Sus scrofa: one gene and its partner. The protein of the gene in region 1 interacts with the protein of each later gene in a biochemical or structural test. Links are inferred from orthologs where the notes say so. Each region holds a gene or a part of one and is shown on either strand. Other genes may lie near its edges.

What was found.
Region 2: of the proteins of MCM7 (region 1) and CDC7, one has a biochemical effect on the other in vitro, tested with the Homo sapiens proteins (2 studies listed by BioGRID). The link is inferred for Sus scrofa from reciprocal best matches to the Homo sapiens genes MCM7 and CDC7.

The regions. Positions count from the first base shown.
Region 1 is NC_010445.4:8,008,219-8,011,047, reverse strand, and holds part of MCM7 (DNA replication licensing factor MCM7), read left to right. Parts: coding exon 1-34; intron 35-328; coding exon 329-466; intron 467-758; coding exon 759-908; intron 909-1,108; coding exon 1,109-1,223; intron 1,224-1,311; coding exon 1,312-1,443; intron 1,444-1,618; coding exon 1,619-1,702; intron 1,703-1,965; coding exon 1,966-2,359; intron 2,360-2,707; coding exon 2,708-2,791; intron 2,792-2,829. UniProt on the Homo sapiens protein: Acts as a component of the MCM2-7 complex (MCM complex) which is the replicative helicase essential for 'once per cell cycle' DNA replication initiation and elongation in eukaryotic cells.
Region 2 is NC_010446.5:125,456,560-125,460,812, forward strand, and holds the start of CDC7 (cell division cycle 7-related protein kinase), read right to left. Parts: upstream 2,801-4,253; 5' UTR 2,677-2,800; exon of another isoform or gene 2,110-2,676; intron 2,021-2,109; 5' UTR 1,941-2,020; coding exon 1,826-1,940; intron 999-1,825; exon of another isoform or gene 1-998. UniProt on the Homo sapiens protein: Kinase involved in initiation of DNA replication. Phosphorylates critical substrates that regulate the G1/S phase transition and initiation of DNA replication, such as MCM proteins and CLASPIN.

The DNA.
Region 1 (2,829 bases):
TTGTGACCAGTGTGGGGCAGAGACCTACCAGCCGGTATGTATAGAGCAAAGAATGGGAATGTGTTTACTTTTGTCAGCGGTTTTTGTATGAATTAATTTGTTTTGTGATGATTATATGTTGTCATTACTGGTCTGTTAATTGTAAAACACACCTGTGTGTTTTCATTCTTTTTCCAGCATGGGATGGCCTTTCCATCCATTCTGTGTTCTTGGTGTACTCAGCAATCCCATGTTTTCTATCACAGAGAAGAAACGTCATTTAGGTGACTAACTCTAAGGAGCCCTTTTTTTTCTCATTTCCTCTGGTGCTTTGTTTTTTGTATCCTAGATCCAGTCTCCCACTTTCATGCCTCTGATCATGTGCCCAAGCCAGGAGTGCCAGACCAACCGCTCAGGAGGGCGACTGTATCTTCAGACACGTGGCTCCAAATTCATCAAATTCCAGGAGATGAAGATGCAAGAACATGTGAGTTTGGGGGATGTGGTCTGGGGCTCAGGGAAGGGGGAGCTTGGGAGTCCGTTTGATTCTTGTAGTCGTTCAGAAGCATAAGAAAGAAAGTAGAACAAAAGGGGAGAGTCGAGGCAGAGAAGTCAGTGAGAGCAGGACGGGGTTTAACTGGAACTTTCTGAGTTGGGAAGAGTTTTAAAAAAAAGCCTAGTTTTCCTCTTGTCAGCTTGCTTGAGGCTAAGCAGACCAAGAAGTGGCCATAGTGTGTATAAGGAGAGAAAGGCAGGCCTCATGGACCCTTCTTCCCCAGAGTGACCAAGTGCCCGTGGGAAACATCCCTCGCAGCATCACAGTGCTGGTGGAAGGAGAGAACACGAGGATCGCCCAGCCTGGGGATCATGTCAGTGTCACCGGTATCTTCTTGCCGATCCTGCGCACCGGGTTCCGACAGGTGGTCCAGGTGAGAAAGTTGAAAATGAGGTGGTGGTTCCTTTTTTCTCATCTCCTCACTCTTTAACAGCCCCACAGAGAAGAGTGACAGCAAGCAACAGAATACCAAACAAAGCAGAACAGAGGGTTCTGTCAGGAACTCCTCAGGGACTCACATGGAAGGGCAAGTTAAAGGCGCTTCATTCATACCCTGGTGTTTTCCTGCTCAAGGGTTTACTCTCAGAAACTTACCTGGAAGCCCATCGGATTGTGAAGATGAGTAAGAGTGAGGATGATGAGTCTGGGGCTGGAGAGTTGAGCAGGGAAGAACTGAGACAAATCGCAGGTGAGGGGTCAGGGGAAAGACTGGGATCCAAATTTCTCCCTAGCAGTTTTTTTCTCCCAGAAAATACTTAGTCTTCTTTTTCCCACAGAGGAGGATTTCTATGAAAAGCTGGCAGCCTCCATTGCCCCGGAAATATACGGCCATGAAGACGTGAAGAAGGCACTGCTGCTCCTGCTGGTGGGAGGGGTGGACCAGTCTCCTCGAGGCATGAAGATCAGGGGTGAGTGGAGGCATTTGGGAGGAAGAAGGGTAAGGACCTTCCAGCGTCCACAGGCCATAGAATAAGCCTGCCTCGGCTTCACGGGCACGGGGGGCATGGGGGGCAGACCTTGAAAGTGTTGTTTTCGGACAACTTGGATTGAAAGAAAAGTCACTCGGGGGCCTCCTTCCTCCAGGCAACATCAACATCTGTCTGATGGGGGATCCTGGAGTGGCCAAGTCTCAGCTCCTGTCTTACATTGATCGCCTGGCCCCCCGCAGTGAGTTCTCAGACCCTGGGAGGCAAGCCCGAGGACAGGAGTAGGACCACCTCGTTCCGTGTTTGTGCTCTTCTGGGAGGGGTTGGGGGGTGGAGATGTGATCAGCGCCACCACGTCGCGGATCTGCAGCTGCCTCGGGCAGGCCTGGCTGGGTCAGCGGAGCGGTCGGGCAGGCCTCGCCTCACTGGCCCCCTTCCTTCTTTCCTTTGCCCTCTTCTTAAACACAGCTGCTAACTTCCTCTCTTCCTGCCCCTTTTGTTCAGGCCAGTACACAACAGGCCGAGGTTCCTCGGGAGTGGGGCTCACGGCCGCCGTGCTGAGAGACTCCGTGAGTGGAGAGCTGACCTTGGAGGGTGGCGCCCTCGTGCTGGCCGACCAGGGCGTCTGCTGCATTGATGAGTTTGACAAGATGGCGGAAGCTGACCGCACAGCCATCCACGAGGTCATGGAGCAGCAAACCATCTCCATTGCCAAGGCAGGCATTCTCACAACACTTAATGCCCGCTGCTCTATCCTGGCTGCTGCCAACCCTGCCTACGGACGCTACAACCCTCGCCGGAGCCTGGAGCAGAACATACAGCTTCCTGCGGCTCTGCTCTCCCGATTTGACCTCCTCTGGCTAATCCAGGACCGGCCTGACCGAGACAATGACTTGAGGTGAATATTCGCAGCACAACAGCCAAGGAGCCACCCCTCAGTTACACCCTCTGGGGGCGGGGGAATATTCGCAGCACAACAGCCAAGGAGCCACCCCTCAGTTACACCCTCTGGGGGCGGGGGATTGGAAACCTCCTCGTCAGCCCATGGAAACTGGAGCATTTCCCTCTTGCAGAAGGGGCTGGTCCAGTTCTCAGGGTGGGTCAGGGTTGAAATGCAGATGATCATTTTCTGAGAAAGTTTGTCTCTGCTGGGCTGTGACACACAGAGCTGAGAGAGTAAGATGTAGGCTTGGGGTACAGTGCGGATCACCGAAAAAAGTGTTCATACTTGCCTCCCCTCTTCCAGGTTGGCCCAGCACATCACCTACGTGCACCAGCACAGCCGGCAGCCCCCTGCCCAGTTTGAACCTTTGGATATGAAGCTTATGAGGTAGGAGAGCTGGGTGAGGACTGGTGTCGTTCCCCACT
Region 2 (4,253 bases), on another chromosome or scaffold:
AAGCCATAGAACCACCTCCTTTCTCGCCCCTCTCTGACTTCACCCCCCTCTCCTGCCGTCCTGCAGCTCCGTGAGCAGCTGGCCCTCTCTGAGTGCTGGGCACACTCCAGCTTAAGGTCTTCAAACTCGCTGATTCCTCTGCCTGGGACGCTCGGCCCCAGACACATGCACGGGCAGTTAACCCCGTCAAGTCGGAGCCCAAATGTTACCACCCCAAACCTCCTCGGACTAAAATCACAATTTTCTTCCCCAAAATGTCTTGGCACTCCTTCCCTTTGCATTGTCTTCACAGCACTAATTATGTTTGAACACACTATTTAATTTTTATTTTCTATCTCTACTACGACTTGAGGGCATTGATTTTTGTGCATCGTGAACTGATGTGTTACCAGCACCCAGGAAGCTGCCTGCACTAACAGACATTTAAGAAATATTCACCATACGAATGAAATGGTTTCAATTTCTTACCAAGCAGTAAACTGACACTCTAGAAATATATGTCATGCTTATTCTGGGGCTTCATGTACGGCCTAAAATCAGGTCTCCTGTAACAAGGGAGATCATACCATTTAGCCCAAATTGGGACACTCTGAGAATGAAAGGGGGCGCTAAGAATTACACTGTGACAACAGGCATAAACTAGACCCGTCTCGGGCAAACCAGAACACTACCTGTAACCCGTCTTAGAAGTGTGGGCCAAGGGCATCCAGATAGCACCCCGCAAGCAAGCCTTCTACTCAACAGTATGGAGGAGACACTCAGTGCACACAGAGTTTATACCTCATTCTTTCAACTCAAAAGGTTTTATCACTTATTAAACTTGGCATACGGCAGATACTTCAAAAAAAAAAAAAGTTTGCTGAGAAAAGGAAAGAATAAACATTTGATTTAATACTATGCCAGATACTTTGTTCACTGCAGTGGGTTTTTTTCCCCTTCTGTTTTTAGGGCTGCACCACAGCATATGGAAGTTCCCAGGCTCCGGGTTGAATCAGAACTGCAGCTGCCGGCCTACACCACAGCCACAGCAACGCCAGATCCTTAACCCACTGAGCGAGGCCAGGGATTAAACCCTCGTCCTCATGGATACTAGCTGGTTCGTTACTGCTGAGCCAGGTCGGGAACTCCCAAAAATAATATTTTTGAACAAGTACTAAATAACGCTTAAGACAAAGATGGAAAAAAAGACTCAGCTACATTTAGGAAAAAAGAAATACAACCAACAACCAACTGGAACCCCTATTTAACCAATATTTATTAAATGCCTGCCTTGTCCCAGGCACTGTGCTAGAGCAGGAATAAAGACGCACATTACAGAATGCAAACTCAGGCACTGTTTGACCCTCTCTCTCATTTCAAGGTCAGGCTAAGTGGCAAATAAAACTTCATGATGTACACTGAGATACAGTCCCTAATTATCACTGCAAACATTTCATTTACTTTTGTCAGTGAATACTGCTGCTGCATACTTAAACCAAAATCCCACCAACGTCAATTGCTAAATCCAAGCTTAATGCAATATAGTGGTAGAAATTCTAGAAGAGAAATTCCCGTCGAGTATCAACAAACTTTGTGTTCTTTGACAACCAGGAATATTTAGACTAGCAACTTCATCTGTAAAATGGTATGGTTAGACGACAATCCTCCCAAAATGCAATCCAATTCCCAAACTAGACCTTAGAAAGTTTTACTGATTCATAAACTGCTCCTATTTAAATACACAAGTCACTTGAAATTTCAGGAAGTGTTCTGGGCCTTGTGTTTGTTTTTTAATAATAGAAATTACAGAATTGTTGCCTGTACATCTTTGGAAATAAACACATACCTGGTAGTTTAAAATTCTGCTCATGTTTTTTTAATGAGCCATCCGCCTGAAAGCGGCCATGCAGAGGAGAAAAAGCCATTGGTTCATCCATCTGAACCCCCAGAGACGCCTCCATCACAAAGCAAGTGGGGTGCAAAATGCCAGCTAAGGGGTCATGTCCACAGGGGGAGCAAAGCAGCTGTGAAAATCAGAATTCTGGAGCAGGTGAGAAGTTTATATCACTCAGTGAACTAAACACTAAAAAGTGCTACTGTCCCCCAAGGGGCAAACATTTAAAAACGCACCGTAGGTCAAAATTCCCCAAGGAAGGGGAAACTTGAGCCATTTCTAAGGATTCCATTGGCTTTACTTTCACATCGCAGAAAAAACCAGCAGGGGGCCGAAGGGAAAACCGCCCGGCGACGGTGGGACGGGGGCGCCGGGGGCTGCAGAGGCTGCGACCCGGGTCGGGGAAGCCTTAGTGGGGACAGCGGTTCGAGCCGAGGGAGAGGCTGGCAGAGGAGAGCGCCCGACCACTGAGAGGGGGCGCCGGGGGTCCGTCCAAGGCCCCACGCAAGTTGGTGGAGAACTGACACGACCTTGCTCGCGAGCGCCCGGCGGGGAAGCGGGCATGAATGGGATCCTTCCGGCAGCGCGGGTCGCGCGCTGCGCGGGGGGAGACCCGGTGCCCGCAAACCCGAGACCGCACGGGACGCTGAGTGCGCAGGCGCACGACTTTCCCGCCGCAGGTCAAAGGGGTCCGAAAAGTCGGGGGGGGGGCACTGCGCTGCGACAAAATGGAAGTCACGATCCAGAACTCGTTTCTAATCCCTCACGAGCCCGCGCCATGGGACAAACCGTCGGAAACTCACGGTTTAAAGGAATACGACTTCCGTGGCTCCCCAGAAGCCTAGGTTGCCGCTTCCAAGAGCGCCCACCTAGCCAGCCGGCCAACCGCGCCTGCGCAGCGCTTCCCGCCTCGCCGCCTCGAGTCGCACATGCGCAGTGTGAAGCCGGCGCGCCGCGGTTTCTGCGCCGAGCGCCTGCGCAGGGGGTGGGTTCCTGCCCCAAGGCGGAGGCTGGTCCAGGAACGGTTGCTGATGGAGAGCCGGGGAGTGATCCTTCGCTGGAAAACGGTGACCCCTAAGGTTAAGGATCTAACAGCACTCGGAGGAAAGAGAGTAAGTCAGAGACAGCAGAGTCTCATTCTCACCTAGAGAGACTTTGGACCCTCCGGATAAAAGACGTTCACTTTCTCGACTCCCAGCTTTCACTTCTTTTGGTGGAATGCCCCCACCTGTCCGTTCAAAACAAACAAACCAACAAACAAAGGCAATTGCTAGTTGTTTGTGGCTGTATTCAAAGAAACAAGCCCAGTGACATTCTCACTGCCACTTGGTCAGTCAGCATATATTTGAGCCCTTGGCTCTGAGGCTGGCTTCGAGAGGCTGGGGTTACAGCGGAGAAGACGCCCTAGAAAACCCCGCCGTCCCTTTATGAAGCCAAGTTCCAGTGAGACAGTGACAATAAATAAATAAATGAACAACATTCTTCTAGATGTTGATAAACGCTCCGAAGGGAATAAAGTGGAAGGACGCGATCGTGACAGAAGGAGGCATCGTGTTGGGAGCCAAATGGGAAAGAGACTAGTTGGCCAAGGGTAGATCAAGTGCAAGGGTAGGATATCAGCTTAGTAAGTTGGGGGGAGGGAGTTTCACAGAACACCAGCATCAGGCAGGGCCACTCTGTGACCTCGATATGATGGATCAAGACAGAAATAAGGTCATTCTGTAATCTTGTCTAGATATAGACCAAATGTAAACATTTTGTCAAGCCACAAAAATGAGCAAACATTTTCTTCTCCTGGCTAATGGGAGCGACTGCTGCTTCTTTACTAATTAAAATTTTAGCCTCTGTAAACACTCAGCCATTCTAGATAGTACTTATTAAAATACACAATTATAGATTTACTCCTGCCTTCCTACAGCTCCCAATAAGTCCCTCTTCCTTGAACCCATCCCTAAATCATGTAACACAAACCCAGATTTCTAACACCCTCTTACTGAGATGCTATATGGTTGTCCCTGGTGTGCATTCTCACTGAAACCTAACTTGTTCAATTGCGGTTCCTCCTGCTCTTTAGCTGGAGGGCATTGACAGTACTCAAGTCCAAGGTGTCTACTAGATAGCTAAGTGATAATGTCAAGTGAACAGGTCTGGAATAGAGTCTAGGCTAGAGACATAAATTTGGCAGTTATGAGTTTATGCATGAAACTTAAAACTTTGGGACTAGATGCTATTATCAAATCAAAGATTATAGATAGAGAACGGGGCTATGGGTATCCCCACTCTTTCAGAGTTGGGCAGAGGAAGAAGAAGAGCCAGCGAGAGACTGGGAAGGAGTGACCTGTGAGGTAAGAAGGTGATGCCATAGTGATCAAGAGGAGAA